Arabidopsis thaliana: one gene and its partner. The protein of the gene in region 1 interacts with the protein of each later gene in a biochemical or structural test. Each region holds a gene or a part of one and is shown on either strand. Other genes may lie near its edges.

The links.
Region 2: the proteins of AT1G74360 (region 1) and AT2G02780 form a complex in vitro, tested with the Arabidopsis thaliana proteins (one large-scale study listed by BioGRID).

What each region holds. Positions count from the first base shown.
Region 1 is NC_003070.9:27,948,808-27,958,614, forward strand, and holds AT1G74360 (Leucine-rich repeat protein kinase family protein), read left to right. Parts: upstream 1-5,321; 5' UTR 5,322-5,491; coding exon 5,492-5,579; exon of another isoform or gene 5,580-5,871; coding exon 5,872-9,104; 3' UTR 9,105-9,307; downstream 9,308-9,807. Other genes in the region: AT1G74350 (Intron maturase, type II family protein), read right to left, coding at 215-2,476; AT1G74370 (RING/U-box superfamily protein), read right to left, coding at 9,393-9,807.
Region 2 is NC_003071.7:779,484-788,207, reverse strand, and holds AT2G02780 (Leucine-rich repeat protein kinase family protein), read left to right. Parts: upstream 1-3,285; 5' UTR 3,286-3,561; coding exon 3,562-4,822; intron 4,823-4,912; coding exon 4,913-5,034; intron 5,035-5,109; coding exon 5,110-5,356; intron 5,357-5,443; coding exon 5,444-5,637; intron 5,638-5,703; coding exon 5,704-5,741; coding exon of another isoform or gene 5,742-5,766; exon of another isoform or gene 5,767-5,820; coding exon 5,821-5,935; coding exon of another isoform or gene 5,936-5,998; exon of another isoform or gene 5,999-6,024; coding exon 6,025-6,276; 3' UTR 6,277-6,534; downstream 6,535-8,724. Other genes in the region: AT2G02770 (4'-phosphopantetheinyl transferase domain protein), read left to right, coding at 8,422-8,521, 8,613-8,680.

The DNA of each region.
Region 1 (9,807 bases):
GACCAGCTAATGCCATGGTTTTATGTTCTGAGGGTATGCAAACTGTGCTACTGCACAAGGCCTCTAGAAATTAAAACATTTGAAGAACGATAATCACCGGACATATGATTTGCTAGACATCAGATACACAAAGCTCAACAACTGCCTAAAACGAATCAGAGTTGACCTAGGAAGAATCAAACACTTGCAAGACTCTTGTCGTGGAGAGTAGTAATCATCTCCAGGCTCCAAAATCAACAGCTTGAAGTGATATTTGACCTATATACAGATCTTTGAGGTGTTGCTTACACAGCCCTATTCTCCTTCCATTTAAGCTAGAAGGAATACAAACAGAAAATCCAGTTTTCCAACCTGGAAACTTCTGTCTCTCCATTGCATGTAAAGTATAAACAGCAGGTGCAGCCATCGAACAACCAATTACGAAGCAATTGCAAGGCCTTGATTCGCTCACTAATCGAGCTAAAGACAATAAACACAAACCACTATTGGAAAGGCCGTATGTTAGATGTTCATCCCTGTCAAAAGCAGGAGAATCTAGTTTCTCATGTTGTATTTCCTGTTCTATATCTTCAGCAGAGGGAATAGTGCTCAGTTCCAAATCAAGGCGTTTCTCTATTTCATTTTCATGTATTCGATATTTTGCTGCCAAAGTACGGATGCATGACATTCTGATCTGATTATCAATAAGAGCCTTTATCTCATCAAAATTACTACAGCCTTCATACCAAATCACCCATCGCCGAACAAGTCCTGAATACCAATCAATTATTTGGGCAGTATCTAGCAAAATAAGCATAGAATTTGAACGAGCATAACCCTTGGCTGTTATTAATCCGTAGCGATAAAGACGCCTTCCTATAGCATTAGTCGGAGCGACAACATCACCAAAGAAAACAGGTCTATCATGAGATTGTGGACATGGCAAAAGCGCTTCCAGATTAGCCGTCTCTGATGAAACATATGCCGCAGCAGCGTTTTGGAACTTGTAAAACGCATCTCTTAGTTCTTGAGGAACAGTAGGTTCTACAACATGCTTGGACAAGACAAACTCCTCGCTTCTATCTGCAGAGGTTCTTAGCACGTCCTCCATCCATATTCTAAGCAAGATCTTATACCAATGATCTGTTTCCATGCCTGCCTTTCTGTGGCAAGATATTTGACTCAAGGTAGAGTTACTATCCGCCAAACCTTTGATTTCTGACTCTTTGACTTTCTTCAATCCATGTCCTAACCATTTCTTTCCAATTCTAACTGTACCTAAGGTCCAAGCCTCTTCTTTCTGCAATGCAAAGAGCCTAACCTTCTCCTTTAACTTGTGAACAGCTTTGACAGTGGGACTCTCCCTAACATTTTTCCTAACCAAGGTACCCAAAACACGAAGCCCACTGGTCGCTTCACATGGTGACGGGTCTGTCTCATCTGTGATGTCCAAATGCAGTGAGTTCCGTAAGAAACCTATAGCTTCAGATCTGATATCACTTGCAACTTTCTTGGGACCAGACACAGAGAAATATATCTCATCCATAAATCTGCAGCAATAAACTCTGAGTGCAACGTCCTGCTCTGTAGTACTTTTCAAACCTTGTTCTCCGGCTTGCCTCCTAAACCAGGAACGAAGTTTTGAGCCTGGGCTATCTTCATCAGTCTTTGAATCAAGACCAAGGGCTTCATGCCTCATTGAGATTCTATAAAATTCATGATCAAACCGATCAAGATATATGTTCATTAATACACGGGACAACACCCCTTCTTGTGGAAGACCATGGCCCTTGGGAAATCCTCCGAACTCGAGATTGAGCACCCGGGCTTCAAACATAGAACGGAGTAAGATGCTTAAACTGCTGTCTTCTACTTTTTCCTCCATTACAGAGAGCAAGTTCTCGAAAACAGAAACATCAAGTTTTTTGTTCAGGCTCAAAGTGAAACACCAATCCGAACGAGAAATATTGTTGTTGATGTACTTCAATGCAGAGGCACGTCCCCTTCCGCTTCGACAACTATGTGAAATCTTAGAAAAATGAGGACTGAAAACAACTTCAAGAACTATTCTGATAGCCTCTTGGACAACTTTAAGAGCTACACTAGGCAAGACAAGGACCTCTTTTGTTTTATCTCTAGCCACAATCGAAAACGTATTTGAAGCAACATCAAACACCCCACTAGAGAGCTCTTCTGCAATAGAATCAAACGCGACACTACCATTTCTTTCTGTTATAGAAACATTGGAGTTAAGCCTAATACAATCATAAGCATCCCGGAGAGTTTCAGGCCTTGCAATCACCTTCTTCAACAGATCACTAAACTTCCCATTGATGCACTGCTCTTTGACTCTTTTCTTCAACCGGAGTTCAAGAGATCGTTTTAGTTCCATACGACTTCTAGGTTTGCTATCATCATCAACATGAGAAGAAGATTCTTCTACAAGAGAAGCTAATTCCCCAGCTAGTGAAAACATTCCAGTTTCCTTACTAGCCATTTCTGCATTATCTGTTGCAAGCAGAGCCGATTTGGGAAACGTGGAGATTGTGCGACTCCATAAGCCCCGTGGGATTAGGGTTTCTATGTAACATCGGCGCAACAAATCTAAAACTAGGTTCCGTTTCCTAAACATCAAGTTAAAATTCCGATTCCTAATTCTAAAACCTATGCGATTATATCCCGACTAAGCCAGTACAAAGTTTCTACAATGAAACGGGACGAATCAGGTTTTTATCAATCTCTTTGCTTAAATCAACACAGAAATGGAAGGAAACTTACGTTCAGGGATGCGAAAAGCACGATTGGTCTGAGAGATAGAAATCGAAGAAGCTCTTGCTTTGCACAGTGAATTACTCGAGATTGAGAAGAAGAACTCGTGACTTGAGAATAGGAAGGAAGGAGGGACTATTTATGAAATAACATAAACTATTGCTTACTTCTATAAATTACATTTTGACACCTTTAGTTGTAGAATATTTATGTTTTAAACATTTTTTTTATAACAGACTTACAGGTAATTTAGTACGCAACAATGAGGCAGTTTCATTTACCATGAAAGCGCAAGAAAAAATATAGACAAAAATATCATTAAATGATAAATGATTAAATTAATAAATTCGTTAATTCAGTTTGATAATTAAGATAGAAACATGAGTGATCAGCTCTTCCTACGCGGTGGACCGACATCATCTACTTGTTCAATTGTTTATCAGTTTCCTATCAATTGACACTTTCTTATATGTAAAATGCGTTGCTTCATGCTTTGCTTATATTCATTCCCCCACGAATACAATAATATCTAATATTGAGCTACGTTTTAAGTTTACGTACCCCCTAAACCTCTAATTGTTTAAAAGGTTTCAAGGTTCAAGAACTCGGGTTTGGGTCGGATTAGAGCGAGTGGATATATTAGTACCTACAATATATACTTTCTCTTATTGGATCCAAAGCTATTTAATTTGGTGTCGTGCATGTGCAAGTTATTTTAGGTGATAATGTTGAATTTGACCAATGGAAACATCAAAACAACAAATGGGTACGCAGAGAAAAACCAAAACGCACAAACGACGTGGCTTTCAAGTGGCATGGACTTTTAAATTTCATAGCAAAATTTTCTTTTGTTTGGTCGCCTTAGTTGTTTGCCTTAGTTGTTTTGGCATGAACAATGTTGGCTCAATACCATTCACACGTCCTTAGTGTTGTTGAATGGACCATTGTTTTTTTATCGGAGGTTTCCTTTAGTTTTTTCTTTTCAACTGGTGGAAGTTAATAACTTTAAAATTGGTACCACTTTGATTTTTTTAGAATTTTGATCATTATGCATTCTAGTGTCAGAAGACACAACATGGATGCTTGAAACATATGTGGCAGAAGAGAGTGATTCAACTTCCTACTATGATTAGTTGAAGCTTGAAGCTACTACTGTATCTTTAAAGTAATAAAATTGAAGTTATAGAAATATGACTGTAGTTGATAAACATATAAGTAGACTATTTTTAAGATAAAAAATATTAGATGATTATCCTAAATCTTGTTGCATATCATCTATCAACAACTTTGAAAGTTTGATTTGTTTCTGAGTAATACTACTTTTTGCAGATTTTGTTTCTAATGACACAAAATATCATTTTAGCAATTAACTATAATTCCTTTTTTATATTGTTCTCTTTATGGAAGAGAATAGTAGCCTCTGAATTTTCTAATTCAAAAAAATATCAATGGTCTATCACGAAGTGTTATACTATTCAATTCAAAATTAATTGAATACTTAGACTAATCAAGGTAAAATAATACACGCATTTGACTCTTATCACGAAGAAAAAAAAAAGGTAAGAGAAAAATATTTATAACGGGAAAATAAATAACAAACAAAAGAAACGAATAAGATGAGATTTAATGATTAACAATGATTTAAAAAAAAAACATTGGTCAAAGCACGAAGTAAGTCAACTAGTGCCGTCCATATGAATCACATTGGACCCCACCATATACATGTATATTTTGTTAACCTCTTTTTAGTAAAATATCTTTAATTTTTTGAACATTTCAAAATGATGCCAATTTCTTCTCTTTAGTCGTCTAAAACTTAGTTAAATAACACTTTTAAATCTCTGGAGAAGCAAATATATCTTTTAATGCTACATAAGTCACATTCACCATATATTGTATGTAACGTAATTTTTAGATTTACATTATGCAAAAGTTTTATCTATTATCATAAACTTACCAACTCTGACACGAAGTCAAACTACTCTGGACCGGTCAACTTAGATGTCACAACTGCTCACCTAATTGTTGCCCTCGCGAGTTAACTTAAATAAAGTAATCTAATTTTATGGTTTTTTTAACCAAATCACACGATTAAAATTTCTAAACTCACACATACTTCAATATATATAAGTTCAAACTGTCAAAATTTATTAAATGTTACCCACTAGGATAAGTTCTTGAGTGCGCAAGTGGTACCGTACAAATTAAAAGAAAAGCTAATGGTGAATCAAAAACAATATTTGTAATTGTTTACTTTTTCTAAGGAGAACTAAAATGAGTTATGGTTTAGTTTTAGTCATATGAGACTCATCTAGTCGATAAAACATCAATTTTGTTTTTGTTCTAAACGACTTCAAAGTTCAATTTTTGAAATATTCAACAAATGCGGTATTTTTCCTTAAGAAATTTTTGATAAAGACTAGTAACGTAATATATACGTTTATACGGGTCAAAATTAGCATAATATGATGACTCAATTTCACCTTTTTGTAATTAATTTTTGTGTTTGAGGAAAAGTCTAATAAATAGGAATAAATCTGTGTGATGTTCAAAGTTTTTCAGTTGCTTGGTCTACGTGCGGGCTGCTTTGTGTTTTTTTCCAACTTCTCTTTTTCTCAAATCTCTTTCCACACATGAATTTCCATGAAATTCATCTTCTTCCCCGATAATTTCCACATCTTCTCGAGGAACATCGCAGAGGACAGTAAAGAAGCAAACCAAGAAGACCAAGTGGAGGAGGACGATGACTATGGTGACGCGTGTGATCATGACGGATGATGATTCTCAGTCACTTTGCTTTCTTTGTTTCTTACTCTTCTTTTTCATCACTGGTAATTTCTTCTCTTCTTCTGTTGTTTGAATTTGAGTTTCGTTGAGAGTTTTTGGGAATTGTAATGTCTTCTCTTCTTGAGTATGAGTTTTGGGTTTCTGTTTCTTTCACGTTTCCTTCAAATGGGTTCAGGGTTTTAAAATTTGACGTGATTTTTTGGGGGTTTCATTGCTTTCATCAATTCAAGGTTTTACATTGTACGTAAATGAATCGCAAAGTTTTAATTTTTACTCTGTTTGATGTCGTTGATGAGTATTTTAGCTGAGTTTTTTGATGTTTTTCTTCTATGGCAGCTATAGCAGTGGCTGGAGATTCTCTGGACAGTGATAGAGAAGTCTTGTTAAGCCTAAAATCGTACCTTGAATCACGGAACCCACAGAACCGAGGACTATACACGGAATGGAAAATGGAGAACCAAGATGTTGTGTGTCAATGGCCTGGAATCATATGTACACCTCAGAGAAGTAGAGTTACAGGGATCAATCTAACTGATTCCACCATTTCAGGTCCTCTATTCAAGAACTTCTCCGCTTTAACGGAGCTCACATATCTCGATTTATCAAGGAATACGATCGAAGGGGAGATTCCAGATGACTTGAGCCGTTGTCACAACTTAAAGCATCTGAATCTTTCTCATAATATCCTTGAAGGAGAGCTAAGTTTACCCGGGTTGTCAAATCTTGAGGTTCTTGATCTTTCGTTGAATAGGATTACGGGTGATATTCAGTCTAGCTTCCCATTGTTCTGCAACAGTTTGGTTGTTGCAAATCTGTCGACCAACAACTTTACTGGAAGAATCGATGACATCTTCAACGGGTGTAGGAATCTCAAGTATGTTGACTTCAGTTCCAATAGATTCAGTGGAGAAGTGTGGACTGGTTTTGGGAGGCTGGTCGAGTTTTCAGTTGCTGATAATCATCTCTCCGGGAATATCTCTGCTTCAATGTTCAGGGGGAACTGTACTTTGCAAATGTTGGATTTGTCTGGGAACGCTTTTGGTGGGGAATTTCCAGGCCAAGTTTCGAATTGCCAGAATCTAAATGTACTGAATCTTTGGGGAAACAAGTTCACAGGGAACATTCCAGCTGAGATTGGTTCCATATCCTCTCTCAAAGGTTTGTACTTGGGGAATAATACATTTTCTCGAGACATACCGGAAACTCTCCTGAACTTGACCAACTTGGTGTTTCTGGATTTGAGCAGAAACAAATTTGGAGGAGACATTCAAGAAATCTTTGGGAGATTCACGCAAGTAAAGTATCTAGTCTTGCATGCAAACTCATACGTAGGAGGCATCAATTCTTCCAACATCCTCAAGTTACCCAATCTTTCAAGGCTAGATTTGGGCTACAACAATTTCTCGGGACAGTTACCTACTGAAATTTCTCAGATACAGAGTTTGAAGTTCTTGATTCTTGCTTATAATAACTTCAGTGGCGATATACCACAGGAGTATGGGAACATGCCGGGGCTTCAAGCACTTGATCTCTCCTTTAACAAGCTGACCGGTTCGATACCAGCTTCATTTGGGAAATTGACCTCTCTTTTGTGGCTAATGCTTGCAAACAACTCTCTATCAGGAGAAATCCCTCGAGAGATTGGCAACTGCACAAGCCTTTTGTGGTTTAACGTGGCAAACAACCAGCTCTCTGGTAGATTCCATCCTGAATTGACTAGAATGGGGAGTAATCCTTCTCCAACATTTGAAGTGAATAGGCAAAACAAAGACAAGATAATTGCTGGTTCTGGTGAATGCTTGGCGATGAAGAGATGGATTCCAGCGGAGTTCCCTCCGTTCAACTTTGTATACGCAATTCTAACCAAAAAGAGTTGCAGAAGCCTATGGGACCATGTTCTCAAAGGGTACGGTCTCTTTCCTGTCTGTTCTGCTGGTTCCACGGTACGCACGCTTAAAATTTCAGCCTATCTTCAGCTCAGTGGAAATAAGTTTTCAGGTGAGATTCCTGCAAGCATCTCTCAGATGGACAGGCTGAGCACACTACATTTGGGTTTCAATGAGTTTGAGGGGAAACTGCCTCCAGAGATAGGACAATTGCCTCTTGCATTCCTCAACCTTACTCGAAACAATTTCTCGGGCGAGATTCCTCAAGAAATCGGAAATCTGAAGTGCCTGCAGAATCTTGATCTGTCTTTCAACAATTTCTCTGGAAACTTTCCAACGAGTTTGAATGACTTGAATGAGCTGAGTAAGTTCAACATCTCATATAACCCTTTCATTTCTGGCGCGATACCAACAACAGGACAAGTAGCAACCTTTGACAAAGACTCCTTTCTTGGAAATCCGCTGCTGCGGTTTCCTAGTTTCTTCAACCAATCAGGGAACAACACGAGGAAGATTTCCAACCAAGTCCTAGGAAACAGGCCAAGAACTCTTCTTTTGATTTGGATTTCCTTGGCTCTTGCATTGGCGTTTATTGCATGTTTAGTGGTATCAGGTATTGTACTTATGGTTGTTAAGGCTTCAAGGGAAGCAGAAATCGATCTCTTAGATGGGTCGAAAACCAGACATGACATGACTTCCAGTTCAGGTGGATCATCGCCATGGCTATCAGGAAAAATCAAGGTCATTCGCTTAGACAAATCAACTTTCACATACGCTGACATTCTGAAAGCAACCAGTAACTTCTCTGAGGAGAGAGTGGTAGGTAGGGGAGGCTATGGAACTGTTTACAGAGGCGTATTGCCTGATGGAAGAGAAGTTGCAGTCAAGAAGCTTCAGAGGGAAGGCACAGAAGCAGAGAAAGAGTTCAGAGCTGAAATGGAAGTTCTAAGTGCCAACGCATTTGGAGATTGGGCACATCCGAACCTCGTGAGGCTATATGGATGGTGCCTAGATGGGTCAGAGAAAATCTTGGTGCACGAATACATGGGAGGCGGGAGCTTAGAGGAGCTCATCACAGACAAAACAAAACTTCAATGGAAGAAACGTATTGATATAGCCACAGATGTAGCAAGGGGATTAGTGTTTTTACACCACGAATGCTACCCTTCCATCGTTCACAGAGACGTCAAAGCCAGTAACGTTCTTTTGGATAAACACGGGAATGCGAGAGTGACGGATTTTGGACTAGCAAGACTCTTAAATGTAGGAGATAGCCATGTGAGCACAGTGATTGCAGGCACAATCGGGTATGTAGCTCCCGAGTATGGACAAACTTGGCAAGCCACCACAAGAGGAGATGTTTACAGCTACGGAGTATTGACCATGGAACTCGCGACGGGTAGAAGAGCTGTTGATGGAGGAGAAGAGTGTTTGGTCGAATGGGCAAGACGTGTAATGACAGGTAACATGACAGCCAAAGGTTCACCAATAACCCTGTCAGGGACCAAACCAGGGAACGGAGCTGAGCAAATGACTGAGCTACTAAAGATTGGTGTGAAGTGTACAGCTGATCATCCTCAGGCAAGACCAAACATGAAAGAAGTTCTAGCTATGTTGGTTAAGATATCCGGTAAAGCAGAGCTCTTCAATGGCTTATCTTCACAAGGTTACATAGAAATGTAAAAATCTTTCTTTCTTTTCTTCTTTCAGATTTATTATACAGAACAACAGAGTTTTCTTCTTCACCATTTTTCGTTTCATTGTTTCTGATTCTTCTTGTACACAGAACCTCATTGTTATCAGACAGATAGGGATAGAGAAAGGTAGTTTTGTTCGCAATGTACAGAGACACAATCTGAAAATAAAGATCTTCTCTTCTTCTTGTCTATATTGAGTGTAAACAACGTTGGCTCTATCTCGTGTTTCTTACAAGTCAGGAAACATACAGGAAGAAAGAAACAGTACAATGAGTCAGGTTGCAATCTCTCTGATCAGCCAGTTTAAGCTCGGGAAGGCAAAATAAAGGACGAGAAACGACGGGACAGCCAAAGCAAACGTAACAAAGAAATAAACCCCGAGAACTGCAGCACTCACAGGGATTGCATATAAAGCCATCAACAGGAATATGACTACCAGAGGAAACTTAGCCAACAAATGAGCAACAAGAGCCATTGACTTACGTACCGAGTCATGGAGCCTCCCAGTTCTGAAGAATCCTCTGGTCACACCATTCCACCAGCTGCGATTGTCCAGCAACCCTTCATCACCCAAGGCGGTATTACTCACTCCATCACACCTATTTCTCAAGTCTCTCTGCCCTGAAGCAACCCTTTTGTTGTCGCTGGGTGCCTCCGATCTGGAGCCATTCATGCTTTCTACCATCCAC
Region 2 (8,724 bases), on another chromosome or scaffold:
AAATCGAAAAGAGAGATACTTTGTAACCAAAATCAAAGCGAAGAAGAAGATGGAGTAACAGTGAATACTCAGATCTGAGTAGAAGAAATCAAAAGCGGAAACATTTTTTTGTTGTGAGTTTTTTTTTCCTAAAAAGTGTACAAAACAAGAATTTAAAATGTAGAATCTGAAATAGAGCTCACAATGTAGCGAATCGTTACTGTTATGTTCTTCAAAATGTTGTCTTGTTAGAAGGGTCTTCGTCGGAGCAGTGACCTAAAAAACCAAAAAGTGGTTACAGTGAGAAATTACACTCACCGTTTGTAATGTGAGAGAGAGATAAAAACAAAAGCAGAGAAAGCGGAACAATAAAGGCATGATGAAACGACTGTGTTTTGTCTGATTTTTAATAATGGGCTTTATTAGTGGGCTTATTGGTGGTATGAGCCCAATTATTTGTACAATGTATTGGAATTTATTTAAATATCTTTATTTTCTAGTTGAGTTAATAAAAAAATTTAATTGAGAATTAATGCTGTCGTTATTCAAGTGGTTAATCTGCTAATTCCCGATTTTGAAACGCATTAAATGTTTGTTAATTACGTTTATTCAAATTGTGTAAGGGTGGTACAATAAGTCAATCAACCAAAGTGGATGAACACATAATGACCAAAAAAAAAAGAAACTTTCTTTTTTCTTTTTATTGTAGTAATGAATTATTACTACGTTAACTATGACATTATCTATAGTACACACTAAATTTTATTAGAATCATCGTTCTGTCACCATCTAAATTAAAATTAAATTATTAGAATGCTAAGTGTCATATCATATGATTTAGCTATAAATAGTTAACCAAAAAAAGAAGCTATAAACATATAATACTTTATAATCTTCACTTCATTTACAAAAATATACTGCTAAAACTGTAATTTGGTATAAGAACAACTGATACTTGAATTTCAAATTATTTAATTAACAGATCAAGTCGAATATTTTATAAATATTATCAAAAGCTGATTAAAACAACAGAAAGACTCTTTTCATTCTCGTTACTCAAATCGCTCTGTTGACGTACATAAACAATTGTGTTTACTCCTCTAAGTCTATCTCATATTGACTTACATAAACAATTGCCCAACAAATGTCTATATTCAATTAAAAGCAACAAAGAAAAAACACTAACTAAAAAAATAGAATCATAATCTGAAACGAAAACTAACTTTTTCTTTGTCTCAATGCCGATCAATTAGCCTCCATGAGCAGTAATCCTACAATTATAAAGAAACGTATTATAATGGTTAAAACTCTTGTCATCAATCCAAAAACACTCATACTTAATCTTAGATCTCAATTTGAGATAAATTCGAAATAAGCCTAGATTTCTAAGTTACAACAAATTTTATTGATTTTAATCAAATAATAAAAACATATAAATAATTATTTCATTCACATAAATATATCTAAGAAAGATAGACACACATAATTAACAAAAGATAAACTAAATCGTATTAGAGTCATCATTTTGTCACCATCCAAATTCAAATTAAACTATTAGAATGTTAAGTGTCATATCATGTGGTTTAGCTATAAACATGTAATACTTTATAATCATTTTAAGTTATTTCTTATTACCATCATTCACTGGAATTTGTTTTACAACTTTTGTACAGTTGATCTTTAATAAATGAGCTAAAACTAAATAGAAGATTTTAAATTTTGATGATTGTCTATATATTTAGTGTAAAACAGTAAATGAAAGGCAAAAAAGCTGCAAATCAGATTCTGAATAAAAAACATGTTATGACGTCTAATCAAAGTTTTAGGATCCGAGAAGTTTACTTTTCTTGAAACACAATAATCGAAAGTTTTGTTTAATCAAAAGAAGCTCATAAATAAATTCTAGGATCCTAAATAGCTAAGTAAAAAACAAACTGAAATAGATTACAATGAATTCATACATTACATTTTTGTAGTTTGAGACCCTAGAAATACGATCTTGTTCCTCCTCTTTTGTTTATAGGCTCAGTTTTAAACCTTAATAAATTAATAATCTCGGAACCGATAAATTCTAATTAATTTATAAAGGTATTAATTTATTAATAAATCTTATAGAGAGATTTTATTAATTTTGTAATTTTTTAAAATTTCTATGTGAGAAGTAGTTTTTGTCTTTATAATCAATGTCTTTCAAAAATAAATTACAAATAAAAAACCAATTGTTAAGTTAGTAAACAAAAAACACTTTGTTCAATATAGTAAAAATATTAGAAATGAACTCTACTAAAAATTTTATACAAATTTAAGAAAAATGAACAATACTAGAGTTAAATCCCACTAATTTAATTAAATATATATATATATATATTAATAAGTGTAAAATTATTAATTTATGATATTGATGAGATCATATGTTTACGTAAGAGTTTTTAAAAACTTATTATTTTATAATTTCATTGATTTGTGTTATTTATTACATTGAAAACGTCAAGAATTTATTAATTTGTAAAAATAGTAATTTATCGAGGATTAGTTTATAAATAATTTACTGTATTAGCATTCACAAGGAATAAGCATAGTACATATATGTCCCAATGTTAAGTAAATCATTTTTTGTATAATTACTTGTCAAAAAAAAAAAAAAAAAAAAAATCATATAGAAACTAAAATATTTGGAAATATATATGGACTCAAAGGTTGTACAATTTTGGGCCTAACCGTATTATATATAATATACGGGCTAAATGTTACACGTATGAAGCCCAAAATAACCTCTCTTTTTTTTTGTCAAACTTGATTTGTAATTGAATTTTAATAAAATTAAATAATTGAATTTTAATAAAAATTAAATAATTGAATTTTAAATGCATATTTTTCGATAAAAAAAAAATGTCTGTTGCAGAAAATATTAAATGATACTTTCGCAGTGACGATTATTCCAAGGCCGTTTGCATGTGCAGATGTGCTTGATCATATAAAATCCATTCAAATTTTCTAACATTAGTAAATGAACAGTTCATCAGAATAAAAGAAACAGCTCGACATTTGGTAGAATCTCTAACCACACTTTTAAAGAAAAGACACAAACCTAATGGCTTCTCTCTCTCTCTCGAAGACAAAACACGACATAAATTTCTTAATCCTCATTACCTATCACCGACAAGTAATGAAACATCTCTATAATCTTATCTGATCAATCATATATAACCAAAAGCACTTGTTTTACTAATAAAACAAAGCAAAAATCATGTGAAATACAAGTTCTTATTGTTAATTTGTTATAGTAGTAATCAAATCAAATAAATAAACATTTCATCTTCTTGGATTCATTGCAAAACAGTCTGTCAAGTTGAGGTTGTGCAATGTGCAGTAATGAACAAACAACCAAACCAAGTTTAAGAACTTAAAGATTGCATTTATTGCCTCCACCTTAATTGGCTTTTCTACTTTCATTTACTTCTTCTTCTTCTTCTCTTGATCCAAAGTTTTCCTCTACACTACCTATAGATCTGTCTTTGTTCCTAGAAAAATGATAACTTTCAGTGAGTTTCTGTTTCTCTAAAGGCAAAACACATCTTCACTATGCAGATTTCTCTTCAAATCCATTTATCTTCCTTCACTTTTCTTCTTCTTATTTTCCTTCTTCCAGTACTCTCTGAGTCTCAGGTAGCTTCAAGTGAATCACAAACTCTTCTTGAAATCCAGAAGCAACTACAATATCCACAGGTTCTTCAATCATGGACTGATACAACCAACTTCTGTCACATTCGTCCGTCTCCTTCCTTGAGAATCATCTGCCTCCATGGTCACGTAACAGAGTTAACCGTCACCGGGAACAGAACTAGTAAGCTCTCTGGAAGTTTTCATAAACTCTTCACTCTTCTTACACAACTATCGAGCTTAAAGACTTTGTCTCTTACTTCTCTCGGAATTTCTGGTTCTCTTTCTCCTAAGATCATCACTAAGCTATCACCGTCTCTTGAGTCTCTCAATCTTAGCTCTAATTTCATCTCTGGGAAGATTCCAGAAGAGATTGTGTCTTTGAAGAATCTGAAAAGCCTTGTTTTAAGAGACAATATGTTCTGGGGTTTTGTCTCTGATGATCTCAGAGGATTATCAAATCTTCAAGAGCTGGATTTGGGAGGTAATAAACTCGGTCCTGAAGTTCCTTCACTCCCAAGTAAGCTCACCACTGTTTCATTGAAGAACAACTCCTTTAGATCCAAGATTCCAGAACAGATCAAGAAGCTGAATAACCTTCAAAGTTTAGACCTTTCTTCCAACGAATTCACCGGGTCGATTCCAGAGTTTCTGTTTTCGATTCCTTCTCTTCAAATTCTCAGTTTGGATCAGAATCTGTTAAGCGGGTCACTTCCAAATTCTTCTTGCACCTCCTCAAAGATTATAACTTTAGACGTGTCTCACAATCTTTTAACTGGAAAGCTTCCTTCTTGCTACTCTTCAAAGAGTTTCAGTAATCAGACAGTGCTTTTCTCATTCAACTGCTTGTCTTTGATTGGCACTCCTAACGCGAAGTATCAGCGTCCGCTTTCTTTCTGTCAAAACCAAGCAAGCAAGGCAATAGCTGTGGAACCTATCCCCAAGGCTAAAGATAAAGATTCTGCAAGAATCAAACTCGGGTTAGTGATTTTGATAATCATCGGTGTGATCATCCTTGCAGCAATTTTGGTTCTGTTGGTTTTGATTGCCCTCAAAAGAAGAAGATCAAGATCAGAAGATGATCCTTTTGAAGTGAACAACAGCAACAATGAGAGACATGCCTCTGATAAAGTCTCTGTTTGCAGCACCACAACTGCCAGCTCTAAGTCATTACCAGATTCAAGTAAACAATGACTTATCTTATTAATACTTGGACACTTGAAACTGAGTCTTTCTCTAGCAAAAACCATTAACAGGATCTTTCTGAGTGTAGGACGTGTACCACAGACAATGAGATCTGCAGTGATTGGTTTGCCACCGTACCGCGTTTTCTCCTTGGAGGAACTGGAAGAAGCGACTAACGACTTTGATGCAGCTAGCCTGTTCTGCGAACAGGTAAAAACAAAAACTTGACTTGAGACTCTGGCGACGAACCTAATAGATTACTTAATATATTTGGTATTCGAACAGCTGTATAGAGGTTGTCTAAGAGAAGGCATACCAGTGACAGTGCGAGTTATCAAGCTGAAGCAGAAGAGCTTGCCACAAAGCTTAGCTCAACAGATGGAAGTTTTATCAAAGCTAAGGCATATGCATTTGGTTAGCGTTCTTGGACACTCCATTGCCAGTAACCAAGACCACAATCAACACGCTGGACACACCATCTTCATTGTTCAAGAATACATCTCTAGTGGATCATTGCGGGACTTTCTCACAAGTAATAATAACCTGAAAAAGATTAGAATATATATTCAGGTTTCCATAGACTCAAATGGTTATTCATTATGGGAATTTTTGTGATCAGACTGTAGGAAGAAAGAGGTACTGAAATGGCCTCAGAGAATGGCGATAGCAATAGGAGTCGCTCGAGGGATACAGTTCTTGCATATGGGAGTAGCACCAGGAATCTTTGGGAACAATTTGAAGATAGAGAACATCATGCTTGATGAAACACTCACAGTAAAAATCAGTGGCTATACTATTCCTTTACCATCCAAGGTATAAAACTTTGTTTTATTTCTTCTTCTATTAATTGAATCTAAGAAAATTTAATGGCATTTCTAGGTTGGAGAAGAGAGGCCTCAAGCCAAAAAACCTCGGAGGTTGTTGTTGTTTCTTAAGATATGATCAAATGTGTTCTCTTCTATCAAATTTTGAAACTTGTTAATGAATAATGTGCAGTAATGAAGATAGAGAGAAAGAAGATGTGTACCAGTTTGGAGTGATACTACTACAAATCATCACAGGGAAAGTAGTTGCTGCAGGATCTTCAGAGATGGGAAGTTTGAAGCTTCAGGTCTGTTCTGTTTCAGTCAGAACCTTTTCATCTTTAAGAATCCGACACGGCTTACAAATTTAGAACCTCAATGTTATTATTTCCTGCAGCTGGAGAACGGTTTGAGAGATGAACCATCAGTATTGAGCAGCTTAGCAGATCCATCTGTTAAAGGATCATATGCTTATGAGTCGTTGAGGACGACAGTAGAGTTTGCTATCAACTGTCTTTGCGAAGATCAGAGCAAGCGTCCTTCCATAGAAGACGTTGTGTGGAATCTACAGTATACAATTCAAGTGCAGCAAGGATGGAGACCAAGCAGTGGGAATCATGAATCATCCATGAAAGCAATATATGAATGAAATGATCATAAAGAGAGGCAAAAACTGTAGAAACAATAATAAGTTTCAAACAAGTCAAGATGTAGTTTCATGGACTACCTGAAATATCTTTTATTAGCTAACTTAGTAATCTGTGAATAAAAAGCAAAAGGAGTTGAAAAACACACAAAGACATGTAAGAGAGTGTGTCCAGCTTTGCTCGACAACATTGCAGACTCTTCTGTTGTATTCGCGCTTGCTTTCGCTGAACATTCGTGCATCTCTTAAAACAAATCAGCAGTCTACAATCTTGCTAACCTGCTTGATGAAGACATCAAAATCTTCAAAAACCTTCACAGGTTCTTTATAACAAGAATCTCTGTGCCTGGAATACTATAGAAAATCCCAAAAGTTACTGCAAACCTCTCACTATGCTCACGTCTAACCTCTCCATCTCAACCACACTCCGTGTTTCGGGCAATCTCCAATACAGAAGTCTCTACCTCATCCAGCATTCTATAAACTTCCTTTGTTATGACTTGTATCGCTAGCTAAAAACAAGTGCTTGTGTTCCACATAACTATAATAACCATAGCTATACCCAGGTTAGGTAAGATGTCGAAAACAGCAAGTGGCTTTGCCAAGTTACCTCACCTAGCATACATACTACTGATCAATGCATTTTCGCTCACAAAACAAATTTTGTTACAATACCATTGGCTTTTACTAGCTTCTTACTTCTTGACCAATCTCTTGAGCCTCCAAGATAGATAGGCACAAGAAGACAGGATCATGACAAACGCTCGATGATCACAAACACATACACACCAGCTTCCTTCATTCGAGTTTGATATGTGAGCTCTCGTAGACGCACGTTCCATGGCGTCGAGAAGCCACCGCAGCGACGGTCATGGATATTGGCACTTTCGATGAGCTTGGCGTGTGGGGTATTTGTTTATGTGTCTATGAACCATTTATTGGCAAAAGGGTATCGACCAAACAAGATGGTCCATGTGGATGAGCCTGGTTATAAGTTTTTGGCTGTGTTGTTTGAAGTTGTTGTCATTGCCATTGTTATGATATGGGACACTTGAAAAAAACACCAATTGACTCATTGATTTCTCAGGTTTGTAAAGAAAGGATGTTGATTTTGAATTGTTTATAGCAATCCTCGTATTGTAGTGTACTTTGTAGTTTGTAGCATCAAAAATAACAACAACAATAGTAGAAGAGATGTTTCTCTTTTTTTTTTTTTCGCCAGAAGAGATGTTTCTCTCTTATTCCATTTTGACAAGGTTTATCTTAACGGTACAGTATAAAGATGGGCCTATAATTGTTGAGTTGGGCCTGTAGTGGCCTTGTAGGTGTTGTTATTGGCTTCATTTGGGCCCGCCACTAGAACACCAAATGGACCAATGGGTGATTTATTTTGGATATCAGTAGACCAAAAATTATATCAAATTATAAATTTGGGTCTGATTTGTATCAGTGGACTGATATCTTTGATACTCAGTATCATGTGACGTTGCAGCATACGGTTGGTCAATATTTTCGCTCAAATCAGAGAAAAAAAAAATCTTTAGTAATCTTATGTTATAATATATTAATTTTTGAATTTGCAAAAAAAATTTTTTTATACTTAACCGGTCTCACCAATATAATCATATTTAGTAGGAGTATCATAAAAAATCTCAAATAAAAATCAAATATTATAAATAATACTAAAAAATTACTCATGATACTATATAAGTATCACCCCATATCATGCTCTTAGAATTGTGAAACTTATAAAACTGGTCTTTTTGTTAGGCAATGGTGAGGCTTTTTTACTTTCAGGTTTAAAAAACATGTTGAAGCATTAGAGTGTTGATGAATATAAGTTTCCCTAGTAAATAGTATCTTCAGTCTCAGTCGTGGAAGGTGTAGAAATGGGAAAATCTCATAGAAGAAGTAATTATGAGTCATCGTAAACTAGAAAGAAGACGAAAAGATAGCATTACGATAGTATTGATGACGTTCTGGTTTCGTAATTAAAGTGTTTTCATTTCCCAATACAAATGACTTTTGATATTTCTTCTCTAATAAAGAAAGTCGCTTATAAATCTCAATCATAGCGAGAAGTTTTCATTTCTTCTAAACTTATTCAAAACCCTAGTTTATTCTTACAATAATCCTTCTGATTTAGCTATGGAAGATTCCGGCATGAAATGTGTCTTTGTAACTACTAATATGGATACTCGTCTGGGCCTTCTCATGGACAAGGATGATACTGTATCTACATTCAAAGGTGACTCTTCATAATCTCTGTTTTTTTTTGTTTTTGAGTTTTGCATCTTTTCTAACGAAACTAATGTTTCTTTTTGTTTGTTTATATACAGAGAAAATCTGCAAAGAGCATGAACAGTGTTTCCCTAGTTTTGGAAACATCACTATCTCCGCTTTGAAGGTTACAATGTTTTCTTCATACACACTGACAGTTTTCTTGTTTAA